2 linked regions of the Stegostoma tigrinum genome follow. The protein of the gene in region 1 interacts with the protein of each later gene in a biochemical or structural test. Links are inferred from orthologs where the notes say so. Each region holds a gene or a part of one and is shown in the gene's direction. Other genes may lie near its edges. The genes, in order: gab1 and grap2a.

What was found.
Region 2: the proteins of gab1 (region 1) and grap2a form a complex in vitro, tested with the Homo sapiens proteins (2 studies listed by BioGRID and IntAct, with this or other methods). The link is inferred for Stegostoma tigrinum from reciprocal best matches to the Homo sapiens genes GAB1 and GRAP2.

The regions. Positions count from the first base shown.
Region 1 is NC_081354.1:29,130,091-29,140,097, forward strand, and holds the start of gab1 (GRB2-associated-binding protein 1), read left to right. Parts: upstream 1-6,103; 5' UTR 6,104-6,518; coding exon 6,519-6,590; intron 6,591-7,172; exon of another isoform or gene 7,173-7,196; coding exon of another isoform or gene 7,197-7,202; intron 7,203-10,007. UniProt on the Homo sapiens protein: Adapter protein that plays a role in intracellular signaling cascades triggered by activated receptor-type kinases. Plays a role in FGFR1 signaling. Probably involved in signaling by the epidermal growth factor receptor (EGFR) and the insulin receptor (INSR).
Region 2 is NC_081391.1:24,715,914-24,725,545, reverse strand, and holds the start of grap2a (GRB2-related adapter protein 2a), read left to right. Parts: upstream 1-5,678; 5' UTR 5,679-5,840; intron 5,841-5,901; exon of another isoform or gene 5,902-6,023; 5' UTR 6,024-6,067; coding exon 6,068-6,145; intron 6,146-9,632. UniProt on the Homo sapiens protein: Interacts with SLP-76 to regulate NF-AT activation. Binds to tyrosine-phosphorylated shc.

The DNA.
Region 1 (10,007 bases):
CCTCTGCTGGACCTGAGACGCCACTTGCCAACACCTACAGGACCTGATAAACTCTGCCCATTCTAACCTATCCTTAACACTGCTTCACTTACCTTTCCCCTTGCCACCTTGCACCCCGACCGTAAACCCAGGCATATGATTCCACAAAAACAAATCCCAGCAATTAGCTTAAGCCATGTGGCTTTTAAGAAGCATCTTCAAAGAATGACCTGTTTTAAAAAAAAGACATGACAGGTGTCTCTTCAGCACTCCAAATAAATCACTATCCACATTATGGAAACATGAATCCTCAAACAAAACACAAACAGGTTCATAACACAAATGATGTTTCTTTTTTTTTTGAGGATTCATGTTTCAGATACAGGATCAAGGGTCTGAAGGGTTATTCCTGTTCATATTTCTTAAGGTCTTATGGTTTCAATAGCTTGGCTAATGGTGCAACTAGTTCTGAAGCAGATATCTTTAATTTCATTGATTAAATAGCGTCATGGTCCATAGCCTTTGCAGTGTCCAGTAGTCAAATGCTAGTAATCTCAGATGTACACTGAGATTATAAAACAGGAAGTGCTGGAAAATCTCAGCAGGTCTCGTAGCAACTGTGCAGAGGACTGTTTTTCTCTCCACAGACGCTGCCAGACTTTCTGAGCTTCTCCAGCCCATTCTGTTTGTGTTTTAGATTTCCAGCATCTGCAGTTCTTTGTTTTATTTTATTGAGGTGGATCATCTGGTCGGCACTTCTAGCTGAAGTTACTTGCAAATACTTCTGCCTTATCCTTTGCACTGATGTGCTAGACTCCCCATGATGGGATGTTTGTAAAGCTTCCTCCCCCTCTTAATAGCTGTTTGATAGTCCACAATCATTCATTGCTCTATGTGACAGGACTGCAGAGCTTAGACCTGATTCTTTCCTTGCGGGATCACCTAGCCCTGCGTAATCCTCTCTGATGAAGGGTCTAGGCCCGAAACGTCAGCTTTTGTGCTCCTGAGATGCTGCTTGGCCTGCTGTGTTCATCCAGCCTCACATTTTATTATCTTGGATTCTCCAGCATCTGCAGTTCCCACTATCCCTGCGTAATGCATGCTGTTTCTGCTATTAGACATGCAAACAGTCCTATTTTGTTACTTCACCAGATTTACACCTAAATTCAGCCCTAAATTGGAGATCTCTGATGTTTAACCAGTGACTTCCTGAACGTAAATTCTCCCAAAAGAAACACTCTCTCAACATTTTCACTGTCAAGCTTCCTCAGGGTCTTGCACAGAGTCATAGAAGCATACAGCATGGAAACAGATCCTTTGGTCTATCTTGTCCATGCCAACCAAGTTTCCCACGGTAAATTACTCCCAATTGCATGCTTTTGGCCCATGTGCCTATAAATCTCTTCAATTCATGTACCTATCCAAATGTCTTTTAAATGTTGTTATTGCACCTGCATCACCACTTCCTCTGGTAGTTCATTCCACATACAAACCATCCGCTGTGCAAAAAGGTTGCCCTTCAGGTCTCTTTTAAATCTCTCTCTTCTCACCTTAAAATATGCCCTCTTGATCTGAATTCCCCCACCCTAGAGAAAAGACCTTTCCTATTCACATTATCTCATATGCCTCTCATGATGTTACAAACCTCTATATGGTCACTCCTCACTCTCCTACCGCTAGTGAAAAAATTCCCAGCCTATCCAGCCTCTCCTAATAACTTAAACCCTTCAGTCTTGGCAACATCCTTGCAAATCTTTTCTGAATCCTCTCAAATGTAATAATATCTTTCCTATGGCAAGGCACCCAGAACTGTACATAGTACTGTAACAGTGGCCTCATCAATCTGTACAACCTCAACATGATCTCATATAACTCCTATACTCAATGGTCTGAGCAATGAAGACAAGCTTGCTAAACATCTTCTTAATCACCTTGTCCACCTATGATGCAACTTGCAATGAACTATGTGCTTGAACCCCTAGGTCTCAATCAAGTTACCTTTTACTCTTTTGAACTCTGTAGATACAAGCCTAGCCTGTCCAATCTTTCCTCTTAAGACACTGCACTCTTTCCAGTTATTAGTCGAATAAATCTTCTCTGAACTAATCCTAATGCTCTTGTGTGCCTCCTTAAATAAGGTAATCAATACTGTATACAGTACTCCAGATGTCTTGTATAAATGAAGCATTATCTCTCTACTTTTGTATTCAATTCCATTTGTGATAAATGATAAAACTCTATTAGTTTTCCCAATAACTTGGTTTACCTCTATTATAAGCTTTTATCGTTCATTTTATCATGCAACTCTGGGTACACTTTGATCACTCTGCATCTCATAACTCTGCAATTTCTCACTATTTAGATAACTTTTCTTATTCTTTCCACTAAAATGGACTGTTTCACATTTTTGCACTTTACACTCCATTTGCTGCATCTTTGCCCATACACCTAACTTCTGTCACTTCACAACTTACTTTCCTACCTATCTTTGTGTCATCAGTAAATCGGTCAACCAGACCTCCAATCACTTCAATGATGTAATTTATCTGAACTGTAAAACAGTTGAGATCTCCATAGTGATCCCTAAAGCACACCACTCATTATATCTTGCTCACCTGACAAAGACTCATTTATGTGCCTAATCTCTGCTTCTTGTTAGCCAGGCAATATTCTATTCATGTCAATATGATACCCTCTGCACCCTGAGCTTTTACTTTCTGAGATAATCTTCAATGTGACATCTTAATAAATGCCTTCTGGAAACCTAAGTACAGTATATCCACTGGTTCTCTGTTACTCATATCACGTCTTCAAAGAACTTTAATAGATTGGTCAAACCTGATTTTTCTGTCACAAAGCCATGCTACTTTGCTTGATTACATTTAACTTACTCATGTGACTTGCTCTAATACTTTTTAAAAAATCCAACAATTTCCCCATGACAAACATTAACCTAACTGGTCTGTAGTTTCATTCTTTCCATCTTCCTTTTTCAATAAATGAGCTACATTCGCTATCTTTCAAACTAACACAACCATCCCTCAATAAAGGGATTTTCAGAAAATTAGATCTATCTCACTCATGACATTTTTCAAGACTCAAAATAAAGTTCATTAGATCCCAAGAACTTGTCAATCCACAGGTCCAACCTTTTACTTAGCACCACATGTCTGGTGATTGAGATTTCCCTGAAATCTCCATTTATTCAACTCCTGATTTATCATTGTTTTTGAAGTTTACATATATCCTCTATCGTGAAGATGAAGTAAATTACCTGTTCATCTCCGTTGCGCTTTTCTGGTATTTCTCTTCATTTAATAGTCTGCCTTTTTTCATACAAACGTGCATGACCTCACTTTAAACTCCATCAGCCAATTTTTTGTCAATTCACTCAACCTATCTATATCCCTGGCAGATTCCTGTCTTTACTGTACATGTCTTCCCACCTGTATCATCAGCAATTTTAGATGCATTATATTCTGTCCCCTCTTCCAAATCATAAATATAGATGGTAAATACTTAAGAGATAATGGGAACTGCAGATGCTGGAGAATTCCAAGATAATAAAATGTGAGGCTGGATGAACAGAGCAGGCCAAGCAGCATCTCAGGAGCACAAAAGCTGACGTTTCGGGCCTAGACCCTTCATCAGAGAGGGGGATGGGGAGAGGGAACTGGAATAAATAGGGAGAGAGGGGGAGGCGGACCGAAGATGGAGAGTAAAGAAGATAGGTGGAGAGAGACAATCTTCTTTACTCTCCATCTTCGGTCCGCCTCCCCCTCTCTCCCTATTTATTCCAGTTCCCTCTCCCCATCCCTCTCTCTGATGAAGGGTCTAGGCCCGAAACGTCAGCTTTTGTGCTCCTGAGATGCTGCTTGGCCTGCTCTGTTCATCCAGCCTCACATTTTATTATCTTGGTAAATACTTAAGGCTCTTTTGGCACTCTATTTGTTTTGCATTTCCAACCTGGAAATGACACACTAACTCTTACTGTCTACCTTCTGCACATAAGTGCAAAGGAGCCCTACTGACACATCATGTTTATTCAGCTTAAACCTTTTGAAGATTTTCTCGACTTGATATCCCTCACCTTGATAAACACAATATTGAGTCAGGCTAAAAGCAGGAATCCCAAACATGCACACCATAATCTATATGTCCATTCCAATTATTTATTTGCACAACGATGCAAAAATAATTTGTTTATAATTGATATGGTACTAGTTAACATATTCTTTCTATCTATGTTCATTGCTACAATTAACTATATTAATTTACACAAATTTTAAAATTATATACCAGTAATACAAAACCTTGTAATATTCTCCAAAATATTTAATAATATTAATTTTTGATATAAAAACTTCTTTTTCTCCATTTGAAGATTGAATAATAATGTTATGCCCTGATGTAGGAGTGACCACATTATTGAATTTGGCCGTGACCAGGAGTTGGATTCACATCAGTCCAGGTCGCCATTAACCAAAAGGATGCTTCAGCATTCTTTTAATTCTACCTTACATGTCAATTCAGCTCCTTTGCATTGTCTGACTCAGCAGACCTTCCCCACCAGTTCCACGATTAAGTCATCAGTACATCCCAGCTGAAGAAAACATCTCAAATCACAGTTCGTTGCAACATTATTTTAAGTGGGCGCGTTCGAAAAAATTTAACTGCAAAAATCGATCGCGCAGTAGGGCAATGTTGTTTGGAAGCACGCACTCCTATTTACTCATTTCAGTGCATGAGGTGCGCACTCTGACTAACAAAGACACAATGATTTCGCCTTTGAAAGCCCCAGCAGAACTGTTTTCATCCTGGTAGATCATCCGGTTGTACGTAAATATATATATGAATAAAGTTTAATTTTTTTTCTTGAAGTGCGGCATCAGCTTGGGAAAAGAACTATTGAACTAGACAAACCAGTCCCCCTTGTTTGTTTGGGGTGGGTGTTGCAGGAGGTGGTTATACAATTTTCAATGTGAACAGGGTGGGGGACTCATGTTGGTTGTTTGCTGCACGCATAAGCTAGGAGGGCCTTCCATCACCGTGATTACTCTGCGTTCTTCTAACTTCCACTCCACGCAAACTCGGAGGAAGTTTCACCTTCAAGTGAGCTCCAGGAATCTGGAACTTTTTTTTCTGCCCGCATTCCACAGATTCCTCTGCCAGCCGGCATAATGATTTTACTCATGACAACTCCATAATGGAAATGACTGCCACTGCAACCCTGTACTTCTGCCAAAACATTTTTTGTTAAAAAAGTTAAAAACGTATTTTACAAAAACGCGGAAGAACGATGTTATAAATTTAAGATATCAAACGAGGAGTGCTGAATCTATGCTGAATCTAATCGACAATGACACCATCAGAAGCCAGATTCTGGTCAGATTTACTGAATTATTACACCTGGGTTCCACCAGTGAGTTTTCCCCGGCTGTCGTCGATACCTCCCCGCCCCCAACCACAGGGGCTGTGAAACGGGATGATTCCCAGAATAAGACGCAGGGATTCACACCACTGCTGGGAAATGTAGTTTTCTGACCCTCCTGGTAGCTGGAAGGAGAGGGGAGGGAGTGGGGTCTCTCGGCGTTGACGGGGAAAGCCAGTTTTCATAAATCAGGGTCACCAGTATTTAAGATAACAAAGTATGAAGCTGGATGAACACAGGAGGCCAAGCAGCATCTCAGGAGCACAAAAGCTTTTGTGCTTCTGAGATGCTGCTTGGCCTGCTGTGTTCATCCAGCTTCACACTTTGTTATCTTGGATTCTCCAGCATCTGCAGTTCCCATTATCACTGATACATCCCCAGTTTTTAACCCTGCTCAACACATACCAGTCACCAATGCAGGCACCAAGTCTGCCACATTGCAATCTCCCAACAGTTTGCATTGGAGTTACGCGGCCGTGACCTTCCCTGTGCACTACAGCAGGCGGTTTCCATCCTGTAGGACTACCTTCCCATTCCAGCAGGATGGGGAGAGCATCAAGAGAAATCACTGGGAACAAAGATTGTGCTACGTGCTGGGAGAGAAAAAAAGAGCAGCTGGGAGGGTTTTGAAACTACAAATCCCACAATTCAATTGCAAATTTCTCCGCCCTCACCCCCCCAACACACACACACACACAAACACACACACAGATATAAACTCACACTGGATCACGTCAGCTCACGTCGGGAACGTCACAGAATAGTTGGATCGGTTGCAGTCGGTGAGTTTTAGTTGAAGTCTGCGGACCCCAGGACAGCCGAGCTGTCAATCATTCCCGCGAATCGCGGCGCGAGAGTGGCCGAGCCGGACATCGCTGGACAAGGCGGACGAGTCAGAGTCCACACACAACAACCCAATCTGTCCCACCATCAATCACCCCGAGCACGGCTGCTCCTTTTTTTTCAGTTTGTTTAAACAGTGGAATCGTGATAGAGAGAAAGGAGTACCTGGTCTGTGCTGGGAAAGTTGATTCATATTTCGTTGGGTTGGGTCTGAGAAAGCCGATCCTGGTTTGTCTTCACAGCCCTTCCATCGTGAGCAAGAAAGATGAGTGGCGGCGATATCGTCTACAACGGCTGGCTGAGGAAGTCTCCACCGGAGAAAAAGTTGAGACGTTACGTAAGTTTTTTTTTAAATACATGAGAAAGTGTTTTCGTTTTGCAAATTCAAATACGGCGGCACTGCTGTAAGCGAACCGAGTTGTAAACGTTGTTTACCTATACAAAACTTAATTTATCATTCAAAAAAAGTGGTTGATTCCTCTCGGCACAATATAATGCTCGCACTCAAGAATGCAGTAGTTACAAAGTAACTGCTGGCAATTGCCCCATACACTTTTTAATTTTGTTAATATGCAAATTAGAACTGTTTGGAATTAGTGCGTGACTTTTTTTAGTGAAAAGTCCACTTGAGTTGTGGCCAACATAGATACGGTCTTTCTAATAGTTTATTTCAGATTTTCAACGTTTGTAGATCTGTCTTTCGAAAAGCAATGGAGTCCTTTGTCTACTGTGAATATGTTCTGATGTTTATAATCTTTTCATGGGTTTGCAGTCACACATGGCTGAAAACTAGAGTGATCTGTGTGTTGAGCAGTGAGAGCTTTGAAGGGCCGGTAGCTGAATCGCACACTGTCAGAAAGCAAGTTTCCAATACGGGACACACCCATTAACTTGGCTGCTGCTCTGCGTACACTTGAGGTTGAATGGGTGTTCATGTCTTCTAATGCAGGTGCAATGCCAAGCGACGTGGAAGGATGAACTATGTGTTTAATAATGCGTGGAAATATCTTGTGATGTCCCATGTCTCTCGGCCCAGGTTTTGTTTAGTGCTGCACGTCGTGGAATTGAAGCATGTTGTCTGGCGGCTTGAAGCAAGTTAAAATGTTTTCCATTCGTTCAGGTGGCAATAGCGGGGCTTTTCACCGGACATATTTCTCAGAATTAGGCCACCAAAAGCTAACATGATGAGTGGCTATGGTTTTATTGCTGGGTAGTATGTAATTTATTTACAACATTTAACAGTGCAAACTTTTTCATACTTCAGCCAGTAGATTTAAAAGAACGAGTGGGCTAATTATTTACTGCAGCTTGAGAAAATAATTGTCAATGGAAGGATCTTTGAACTTTTTAAAATTTTGTGGAGCCTACTTTTACTTGGGTAAAAGAATAACTTTGAGGTAGTCTTAAAGACTAGTATCGTGGTGATCTGAAATAGTTGTGACTTAGTACATTTGAAACAATTCATTTTTGTTTGAGATACTTTTAAAGACGTGTTCTGTGGCAATATATGAATTTTTCTCAGGGATTTTACCAATATCCCATCATAAACCTTCCTTCACGTGGTTTAATCAGTTTTATCATCCTGAGTCTGAGCTTTTGTTTTTAGTAAACTTGTAAGATTTTCTTTACTACTTGTAAACTAACTCTGTGAAGGGAATATTCAGTTTGGTAAAAGCAGTAAATGTTTTGCTATGTAATTGAATGGATCCTTGTAACTTTTTTGAAACTGTTAATTTGAAGTATTCAGAAATGAATATTGCTTTCTGTTACTTATTTAGTTCTACAGAAAAGGATATGCAAAGACAATAGGATTTCTGACATAAAATGTGGCAAGTAATGGCATTAGTCAGTGACTCTGTATTGCATATAGAGCAAGCTTCTGTTGTCAGCCTGTCTAAACAAAAATGTAGAGTGAATGTGAGTGTGATATGCGCAGTTTTTACTCTGATCAAGTGTCAGTTCTGTGTTCCCCATTGTAATATCTTACATCTATAATAATTAAGAATAGGACTTTGTCATTTATCTCAATGTTGGTTTGTGACAATGTTTGTTTGCAGCAATGTTTTTGCACCTGGAGGAAGTGCAAGTACAAGTTTATTGCTATGTAGGTTTGAGTTAAATTATTCAATTCCTATTTGTAATCATGCCAGAGAAAGGAGGAAAAAAAATTGAAGTTCTTATCACGCTCCTCAACTAAAGAAGAACTTCAGTGTATGCTATATAAGACATAGGAGTGGAATCGTTCACATTTTCAGACTGCAATAAAGCATTTCACAGCCAATAAATTAGTTTTTGAAGCACAGACACCTATTTTATAGGCAAACATGGTAGCCAACCTGTGCACAACAAAGATTCAAGCATGAATGAAATAAATAATCACATTTGTATTGACTCCAGGATAAATGTTGGCTAGGTTCTCAGGAGTACACACTTGCTGTTTAAATAGTGTTGTAGGATTTTCTGTATTTACCTTGATAGGTGAATGGCACCTTAGTTTAAAGGCTCACCCAAAAGATAATGTGTTGCACTGTCATGTTCTGTTTGTCCCATTCTGATATGTCACTACTGATTGTGTACAGATATGTTTGTAGTGAAACTTGATCCGACTCTGATTTGATGATGAGACATTGATAACACTCCTAAGCTAACCCCTTTATTTAATTCTACAAATTTAATACAAGCAATCTAACCTATTTGCATTCTTTTTCTTCCTCCCTCCAGCATGCTACTGACTTCTCGCAGCAAACAGCCACAGATTGCATTTAATGTAGCGAAAAGCTTAAATGTTTTTATAAGGATATTATCAGACAAAATTTCTTAGTGAACAGCTGGCCCATAGCTTGGTCAGAGGTAGACATTATGGAGCATCATAAAGGAAGCAGATAGAATGCAGGAATGAATCCCAGAACCTTGGACCAAACCTTTTTGAAGGCTTTGCTTCCAAAGCTGAGTCAAAGAAAATCAGGAAAGGGCAAGATCCAATGTAGGAACAACATTAGAGATCTTTTAATCATGTAGAAATTGCAGGAGATGCTTCCTCTTTTTATTTCCTATCATATGGAGAATTGATTTTGTGCACCAATATACAGTAATGATTTGTGGCATGAATAGAAACAAAATAACTTTATATTTTGTGACAACACAGTATGAAGCTGGATGAACACAGCAGGCCAAGCAGCATCAGAGGAGCAGGAAAGTTGATGTTTTGGGTCGAGACCCTTCTTCAGAAATGATTTCTCTTCTGCTTCACACAGTGTTGTCTCAGATTCTCCAGCATTGGCAGTTCCTACTATCTCTCTAATACAATATTAGTATTATTTTTAAAATGTTACTATTGGTATGGAAGAAGGAAGGCTGTTCCTAATCACTGACACAGTAATGTGCAAGTCAATAAATTTTGCACATTTTCTGAATTAAAATTTAAGTTTACCTTGGTGCCATTCGAACCTAACCTGCAGATTTTTAAATACAGTACCATAACCACAACAATAACATCTGAGAGATACACTTTTTAAATATAAAGCATGATACAAAATCTATATCGATTGACTTGGTAACAATGGCTCAAGACAAGCCTGGGACTTTTTTTTTGTTTCTGTATTCAAATAGAAACAGCTGAGGCAGTTTGTCTGTTGAACTGCTAGAAAATGTTCGAACGGCAGCTTTTTTCTGTTTTTGCTCCTTTTTTAAAAACTGTAGTGAATAGTGAGGAGAATGACACGCCATTTCTTCAGATCAACAGTTCTAATCAGTG
Region 2 (9,632 bases), on another chromosome or scaffold:
GAAATGGCCACAACATCGAAGTCCCTGGTACCTATCTATGCTGCAAGCTCACCTACCTTATTCCGGATACTCCTGGTGCTCAAGTAGACACACCAACCCAGCTTCCTGTCTGCCAGCACACTCCTGTGACAGTGAGGCCCTGTCCATGTCCTCCCTACGCTCATCCTCCTGTGTACTAGAACTACCCCTCAGTTTCCCATCCCCCTTCTGAGGTAGTTTGGGGTGTATTGAGGTTGGGACAGGTGCTATGGAAATGCACATTTTTCTGTTTCCCAGTCTGGAGATCTATTTCACTAATTTCTAATCAGGTAGAACACAATTCTGTCTGCATTTTCTTTTTGTTATTTTCGAGTTTAGGAGAGGAAGCTGGCTTTCTGTGCACTCAGCTCAATTGGTGGGGTTTTTCAGTAATGATTGGTAAACAGCACCAAGGCAAATTATACTGTTCTTTGATGCTGACAGACCCTATAATCAAGTTTATTGCTAAAAATCTGTAATTATCTTTCTGTCTTGCAGCGAACAAGCATGGCTCTTTCAACCGTGGCCCTTTCTAATCCTTACTTCCTCTAGATTACAGTTCTTTCTTTAGACCTCCAGGTCACACTTCTTTCACCGCTTCAAAGGATGGGGAAAGGAGTTGTTCCCTTGAACCTTCTTAGAGTGGTTACTGAGTTGCTTCTCTTCTCTCTCTCTCTTACTGTGGGTTTTTTTTCTATGAAACACTCACATGCCTCAGATGGTTATTTATGACACCCCTCAGACCAACTGCGAACCTTGGCAATGGGCCATTTGACTGTGGAGTCCTCATCATCCCTTTGTATCCTGCCCTGAGCACTTAAACTGCTTTGTATCCCCATCTGTGTAAGTTGCACAGCCACTGGGAAGTCCCTGCGTGTGAGCTTTCACTTTTGGAAGCTTGCACTGTGCACGGATCTCACAAGTTGGGGGTGGAAGAAAAAATAATTAGAGGGAACCTTGACCCCACAGTTATTAGAATAGAGTTACAGAATCCTTACGGTATGGAAAGAGGCCATTCAGCCCATTGAGTCCACACCGACCCTCTGAAGAACATCACACCCAGACCCAGCTCCCCCACCCTACAATTCTGCATTTAGCATCGCTAATCTACACATCCTTGAGCACTACAGGATAATTTCCCATGGCCAATCCACCATAGCCTGCACATCTTTGGACTGTGGGAAGCAACTGGAGCACCGGGTGGAAACCCACGCAGACACGGGGAGAATGTGCAAACTCCGCACAGACAGTCACCCGAGTGTGTAGTTGAACACGGGTCCCTGGTGCTAACCACTGATCCCCTGTGTCTAGATTTCTAGATTCCTTACTTAAATCTATTCCTCCTTCCATTATTATAGTTTCCATTGCCATTTATTAAGAGTCATCGGGTTCTACAGTACAGGATGAGACCCTTCAGTCCATCAGGTTTGTCCTGGTCAAACATAAACTCCTAATAGCTTAATCCCATTTTCTAGCAGTTGGGCCATAGCCTGGTACGGCTTAACATCCCAACAGCACATCTAAACATTATGGTTACAAACGGTTTTTGCCCCAACCTTAGTATACATATACCTGAGGACTCCTACATATTTGTTTCTCAATTTCTCTCTTACTATTGGGGAGCTGAGACTACAATCCCATCAAAGTCATCTTCTCTTTCTTTCTTCATTCAGTGGGGGAGTGGATGAATTTTCAGAAATATTTTCCCTAGTTAAAGCAGTTATGTATTCCTTAATGGAAAAACACCCCACCGTGCGCGCACACACACGTGCTGACACACGCACACACACAGCAAATTCATTCCCAGGTTTCCTTTGTCCTGTTTCAAACTTTTTTTTGTATGACCTTCATTTTGGTGCCAATCGAATGGAAGAAGTCAGTGTGAGAATAAAATGAAATACTCTTTCTCTTTGGATGGGGAAGGAGACAAAAATCCCAAGAAAGCTTAAAACCACACCTCATCAACCATTGAATCGAGGGGCAGCACATGCCATTGTAAAAACCAAAAAGTCTGTGAAAGATTAAAGGAATTTTCATCTTGTGGTCTGGAGTTTAGTCCTTTAGAATTTTTGCTTACCCTACCCATATTCTTTTCCACCAATAATATGTGTTAAACTGTTCATCTTTGGTCTGTCTTAATCATCACTGAGTATGTATGTGTGCGAATGTGTGTGAATATGTGCACACATGCGTGTTTATGTATGTGCACGCACATGCATGTTTGTGTGTGCATGTGCAGATGCACATATTTGTGTGTGTGTAGGTGCATGTGTGTGTGTATGTGCGCATGCATGTGTGTGTGTATGTGTGTGTGTATGTGCACATGTATGTGTGTGTTTGTATGCACGCATGTGTGTATGTGGATATGTGCATGTGTGAGCGTGTTTGTGCATGTGTGCACACGTGCATGTGTCTGTGTGCACACGTGCATGTGTATGTGCGCACGTGGGTGTTTATGAGTGCGTTTGCATGCTTGTGTGTGTATGTCTGCATGTTTGTGTGTGTGTTGGTGCATATGTGTGTGTATGTGTGTGTGTGTGCATGTTTATGTGTGTATCCACAGGTTTTTTGTGTGCATGTGTATGTGATCATGCATACGCGTGTGTGTATAGATGCGCATGTGTGTTTGTGTGGCTGTATGTGTATGTACGTGCATGTGTTTGTGTGCACGCGTGTTCATATGTGCATGCATGTGTGTTTCTGTCTGTGTCTCTGAGTGTGTGTATGTGTACGTGCATGTTGTTTGTATATGTGCTTGTACACATTTGTGTGTATGTGCTTGCGTGCTCGCGTTTGTGTGTATGTGCACACACATGTTTGTGTATGTGCACATGTGTTTGTGTGTATGTGCATGAGTGTTTGTGTGTTTATGTATGTGCATGTGTTGACTGTGTGTGTATGTGCACATGCATGCTTGTGTGTGTGTGCATATGAGATTGTGTATGTGCTTGCACGTGTTTGTGCATGTATGTATGTGTTTGCAGCATGTGTATGTGTGCACGTGTGTTTGTCTATGCATGTGCACATGTGTTTGTGTATGTGCGTGCACATTTGTGTGTGTATATGCGCACGTGTGTGTGTGCATGTCTGTGCTTGTATTGCGCACGTTTGTGTGTGTTTATATGCACGTGTGTTTGTGTGTATGTGCATGTGCACATGCATTGGTATGTGAATGTGTGTTAGTGTGTGTACATGTGCACGTGTATGTATGTGCGTGTTTGTGTATGTGAGCGCACGTGCACGTTTGTGTATATGCACATGCACGTTTGTGTGTGTGTATGTGTGCATGTGTGTGAATATATGCGTGTGTGTGTGTGTATATGTGCGTGCATGTGTATATGTGTGTGCACGCATGTGTGTGTTAGTGTGTGTGTCTTTTAATGTGCATGCATGTGTGTGTGTGTGTGTCTGTATTTTTAAGAGAGAGGTTATAAGGGAATTAGAGTTTTAGTTTGTAGTATTATATGGCATTAGTTTATATCTGTTTACTTGGTCAAGTTACTTGTAATGAATGATAATTCTCGTACAGTGCAGAAACCTGGTCCATGCTTTCTATCAACCTGGGTCTGAAAATTGGGTAAATTGAGGAACTGTGCAGACTTTTAAAAAAGTTATCGTTGGGCACAATGCTGGAAATAGTGGGACTCAATGTACAGTAGGCTTACCCCAGTGTGTTGTAATACAAGTATTGAAGCAACCTAGTGTGAATTGATTTTGTCCTGGGTACAGTCAGTCAGGCAGATTTGACCTTTGGTGGCCTCACTGGGATTTTAGTGACAAGTTCGGGGACATTGAGGCCTAATTTCACGCATTATTTCCAGCTATGTCATGGCTCTAATTTTGAAACAATGACATCTATTTCTGGGCTGGTCCCAAACGCAGGAAGTTGCTTTTTGCCTCCATCTAGTCTACCTTGTTATCATTTTTGGTGCTTCAATAAGATTGCCCTTCACGCACCTACACTTAGCAGAATTGAAACTAAGCTTAGCTCACATGCCCTTCCTCCCGCCAGACTTTCATGAGATAGAGGTGTTGCTGGCAAAATATGCACTTGTTACCCATCCCTAATTGTCCAGGGGGCAGTTAAGATTCAACCACGTTGCTGTGGGTCTGGAGTCACAAGTAGGCCAGACCGGGTAAGGGTGGCAGTTTCCTTCCCTAAAGGACATTACTGACCCAGAAAGATATGGAGCATTTAATTGAAAGCTTTCAGTCCCAGTTCTGCTGCAAACACTCCCCTCCAAAGTGTGATATTTGTCTGAGTGAACCGATTAGTTTGCAATTGAAATGAATTTTCTTCGGTGCAATTTTTGCCCGCAGCCCTCCTTTACATGTGAAACTCACATCAATGCTCAGCGCCACAGGAAGCAGCTCAGCTGCGCTCAGGACTTTGAATGCACCAAAAAAACCTGCCATCGAAAAAGAAGCCGATTTCCGAGCAGCAGATTCTGACAGTGGGGCTGGAATTCCACATGTTGACAAAGGGGAGAGTCCCCGTTTTGACCCAGTGCAGGCCAGTCCTGTGTGAGTCCTGCTTTGAAACATTTTAGTGTGAGAGTGTCGGCAGGGAGAGAAGCTGTTCGAGTCCCCCCCCCTCCGGCCCACACACACAACATCCCCCAGCCCCACACACACAACAGCCCCCCAGTCCCACACACACACAACAGCCCCCCAGTCCCACACACACAACAGCCCCCCAGTCCCACACACACACAACAGCCCCCCAGTCCCACACACACAACAGCCCCCCAGTCCCACACACACACAACAGCCCCCCAGTCCCACACACACAACACCCCCCCAGTTCCACACACACACAACACCCCCCCAGCCCCACACACAGCACCCCCCCGAGTCCCACACACACACAACACCCGCCCCAGCCCCACACACACAACACCCCCCAGTCCCACACACACACAACACCCCCCAGTCCCACACACACACAACACCCGCCCCAGCCCCACAACACCCCCCAGTCCCACACACACACAACACCCGCCCCAGCCCCACAACACCCCCCAGTCCCACACGCACACAACACCCCCCCGTCCCACACGCACACAACACCCCCCCGTCCCACACGCACACAACACCCCCCCGTCCCACACACACACAACACCCCCCAGTCCCACACGCACACAACACCCCCCAGTCCCACACGCACACAACACCCCCCCGTCCCACACACACACAACACCCCCCAGTCCCACACGCACACAACACCCCCCCGTCCCACACGCACACAACACCCCCCCGTCCCACACACACACAACACCCCCCCGTCCCACACGCACACAACACCCCCCAGTCCCACACGCACACAACACCCCCCCGTCCCACACGCACACAACACCCCCCAGTCCCACACGCACACAACACCCCCCCGTCCCACACGCACACAACACCCCCCAGTCCCACACGCACACAACACCCCCCCGTCCCACACGCACACAACACCCCCCAGTCCCACACACACACAACACCCCCCCGTCCCACACACACACAACACCCCCCAGTCCCACACGCACACAACACCCCCCAGTCCCACACACACACAACACCCCCCAGTCCCACACACACACAACACCCCGCCCCCCCCCACCCCGCCTTGCAGAATTCTAGGTTGTGGTTTTCCCGGAGCGCAAGAAGAAATTGGCTTCGATTTTATTTGAACGACAGTCTGACGAACAGCAGACGAGAGGGGTGTCGCGCTGCGCTAGAAACATCTCTCTCTACCTGCCAATTTATTAAGGCAGCTTTTACAACAACGAAAATTCGGGACCTTCCACCAACCAGAGTTTGAACGTCGTTGAGAAAAGGTAACTCATGCTTCTGCAACTCCCCCCTCCCCCTCCCACCCTGTCTCCTCCCCCAGCTCTATCACTTCCCTCCCAACCCACCGCCCCGCTCCAACCATCATCTCCTGCAGTGTACACACAGACACACACTACTCCCAGAACAGCTCAACCAAAGGAGATTCCTTGCTGTTTTCTCACTTGAAGGTTTTGCAGTCCATCTCTGACCAGTGGGACTCCAGTCAGGGGGGATGGAAGCTGTGGCCAAGTACGAGTTCAACGGAGCTGGAGAGGATGAGCTGAGCTTCAAGAAAGACGACATCCTTAAGGTAACTCAGAGATCGTAAGACCTACAGATGCTGGCGTTAGAGATAGCACAGCGTGGGGGAGCCGGAGGGACACAGCAGGCCAGGCAGCAGTCGTGTTCCTCCAGCTTCCTCGCCGTGTTCCTCCAGCTCCCTCACCGTGTTCCTCCAGCTTCCTCACCGTGTTCCTCCAGCTTCCTCACTGTGTTCCTCCAGCTTCCTCACCGTGTTCCTCCAGCTTCCACACCGTGTTCCTCCAGCTCCCTCACCGTGTTCCTCCAGCTTCCTCACTGTGTTCCTCCAGCTCCCTCACCGTGTTCCTCCAGCTACCTCACCGTGTTCCTCCAGCTTCCACACCGTGTTCCTCCAGCTTCCTCACTGTGTTCCTCCAGCTTCCTCACCGTGTTCCTCCAGCTCCCACACCGTGTTCTTCAGGTTCATCACTGTGTTCCTCCAGCTTCCTCACCGTGTTCCTCCAGCTTCCTCACCGTGTTCCTCCAGCTTCCTCACTGTGTTCCTCCAGCTTCCACACCGTGTTCCTCAAGCTTCCTCACTGTGTTCCTCCAGCTTCCACACCGTGTTCCTCCAGCTCCCTCACTGTGTTCCTCCAGCTTCCTCACCGTGTTCCTCCAGCTTCCTCACTGTGTTCCTCCAGCTCCCTCACCGTGTTCCTCCAGCTCCCTCACCGTGTTCCTCCAGCTTCCTCACCGTGTTCCTCCAGCTCCCTCACCATGTTCCTCCAGCTCCCTCACCGTGTTCCTCCAGCTTCCTCACAGTGTTCCTCCAGCTCCCTCACTGTGTTCCTCCAGCTTCCTCACCGTGTTCCTCCAGCTTCCTCACCGTGTTCCTCCAGCTTCCTCACTGTGTTCCTCCAGCTTCCTCACCGTGTTCCTCCAGCTCCCTCACTGTGTTCCTCCAGCTCCCTCACTGTGTTCCTCCAGCTTCCTCGCCATGTTCCTCCAGCTTCCTCACCGTGTTCCTCCAGCTTCCTCACTGTGTTCCTCCAGCTTCCTCACCGTGTTCCTCCAGCTCCCTCACTGTGTTATCCTTCAGGTGGAGATGAATTTTTGACTTTGTCAGTGGAGCTGACTTCTCTGACATCCTGCCTGCGGTCGCAGAGTTGGCCAAAACGAAAATAAGCAAACTTCTCAAACCAGGCCATGCACTCACAGTGAAAAACCTGAGGAGAACCTAGGATTGGTGTTTTCTGTCACCTGGATAATCCCAGTCATTCCCTACCCGCCACCTATTCTTACGTTCGTGGAAAGGCATCAAAATGAAAACGTGAGCAGGTTTTTGAGTTGGGGATCTTTAATCTGAAAGACCCGTCGCCTATTTGTGTATGTTGTCTCCCCATCCTCTGCCATCACCCCCTGCTGTTTCCATTAACTGGGGTACGATTTGAGGATCTGGGAGCGGCCCCCACCCCAGGGTTAGAGAGGACACTGTGGAGGTGGAGTGTTGGGAGGTTTTGATGGTAAAAATTTCTCATTTCTCACTGTTGTGCTTGTACACCCCATAAACGTGGGTCTTTTTGAGAGAGATGGTTGGGGGGGGGTGGGGTAGGTGGTGGTGGAGGTGATGGACTGGGTGGGAAGGTTGTTTGATGCACAACATGATTCAAAATCTCTGGTGCCACTCAGGAAGAAGTGGATACTTCAGAAAGGCTGCTACGGTGCATGAGATAGAACACTGGGGCTCCAAAGATGCAGAGGTTAGGGTGGATTGGCCGGGGTAAGTTTCCCCGTGGCTGTGCAGCTTAGGTGGGTCAGCCACAGTACTTGCACGGTTATGGGGGTAGGGTGGGGGAGTAGGTCTGGGTGGGATGTTATTTGGAGGGTTGTTACAGGCTTTGACGGGCCAAACGGCCTCTTTCCACCATTGAGGGTTTCTGTAATTCAAGTGAACACGAGAAACATGATTTTTCCCAATGCAGTTATTTTGCCGACATGTTCAGCTCTTTGTGTTAATTGCTTCTTAAAATGATCATAATATTCCAAAAGAGGCAGAAACAAAAATCTTTAAGTTGTAAAAAACTTAAATCTTTGCAAAGTAACGATCCTGTTGCCTGAGGCCACGGTCTCCTGCTAAAAATCCACGGCAGGGTGACTACCGTTATCCCTGCCACGGAAACACAGGGAATGTAGAGAGGAAATGTACATCCCTGCATTGTCTTGCTCTGTTTCTCTCTGAGCACAGACCCCAGCGTGTGCTGCTCCCCTCACAGAGACAACCCAGTCCCCACGAACAATCAAAATCAACTTTCTCTCGTGCACAAAGTCCTCAACTCACAAAGGACATGTTTCCTTTCTTTACATTTAATGATGTTAATTACAAGTGAAACTTTGCCCAATCTGCTGACCGAAGGTCCAACTTTGCCTCAGTTTTACTGAAGGTGATGTTTCCGAGAATAACAATTCTCAGTTCTAGAGGATTGTTTCTCTGTCTTATTCTTTCTCCCTCCATTCGCCCCCTTCTATCCCTTCCCCAGATATACCTTTTCCAGTTTCATATACCCTCTTCCTGCAATCCTTGTTGGTTTCTTTCCCTGTAGAGGTCAAATAGAGCTCTTAACAAGGCATACAGTAAGCTTCATTAATAGGGACATGGAGCAGGGAGATTACGCTTAATTTGTTAAGGGAACTGGTTAGATCTACAATGTTATGTACAGTTCACATTATAGGAAGGATGTGATGGAGACAGATCAGAAGGAGTTGATGAGAGTGGTCCCAGGGGTTCGCCACGAGGACAGATTGGAGGAGTCGGGACTGTTTTGCTCGGAGAGAGGAGGGCTAGGAGGAAGTGTTGTAGGTGTGTTCAGCATCATGGTGGGGGATGCGAATCTGGACTGGGTGGATGGGGAGAGTCTGTTTCTACTTGTGGATGGTTTTGGGAGCTGGAGAGCACAGTTTTAAACTGATCTGCAAAGGAAGCAGTTGAAAGGTGAGAAGGAACTTTCTCACACAGTGAATGGTCTGGGTTTGACATGCGTTACCTTTGAGTGTGGTGGAGCAGTTCAGTTGAGGAATTCAGGAAGACATGGGACGGTTATTTGAACAGAAACAGCGTGCAGGGTTACAGGGTAAAGGCAGGAGACTGGCACTAAGTTCAAATGCTCAGAGAGGTGGCGCAGACACGGTGGGCCGAATGGCCCCCTGCTACACCATAACATTTCTGTGAAATCTTGCCTAGCGCTGGGAATGAAAACAAGAACTGCAGTCACTGGACGTCTGAAGCAAAGGAAAACCAGAAATTGCCGGCGAAATCCAGCAAGTCGGGCAGCATCTGCTGAATTTCTCCAGCAATTTCTATCTTGTTCTTGGTTGTTCCACATTGCAACCACTGGGGTGGCAGCTGCCGATCTCAGGGTGCCAGGCTGTGACCAATTGTCTCTCTCCAATGCGGAAAGAGGCCTGTGGGCATTTTTTGTACACGATGGATAATACCCTAAAAAACGGCCCGTTCCCCTGCAGGTACTATAGGACTGTCCCAATCCCTTCTTCAGCATTCC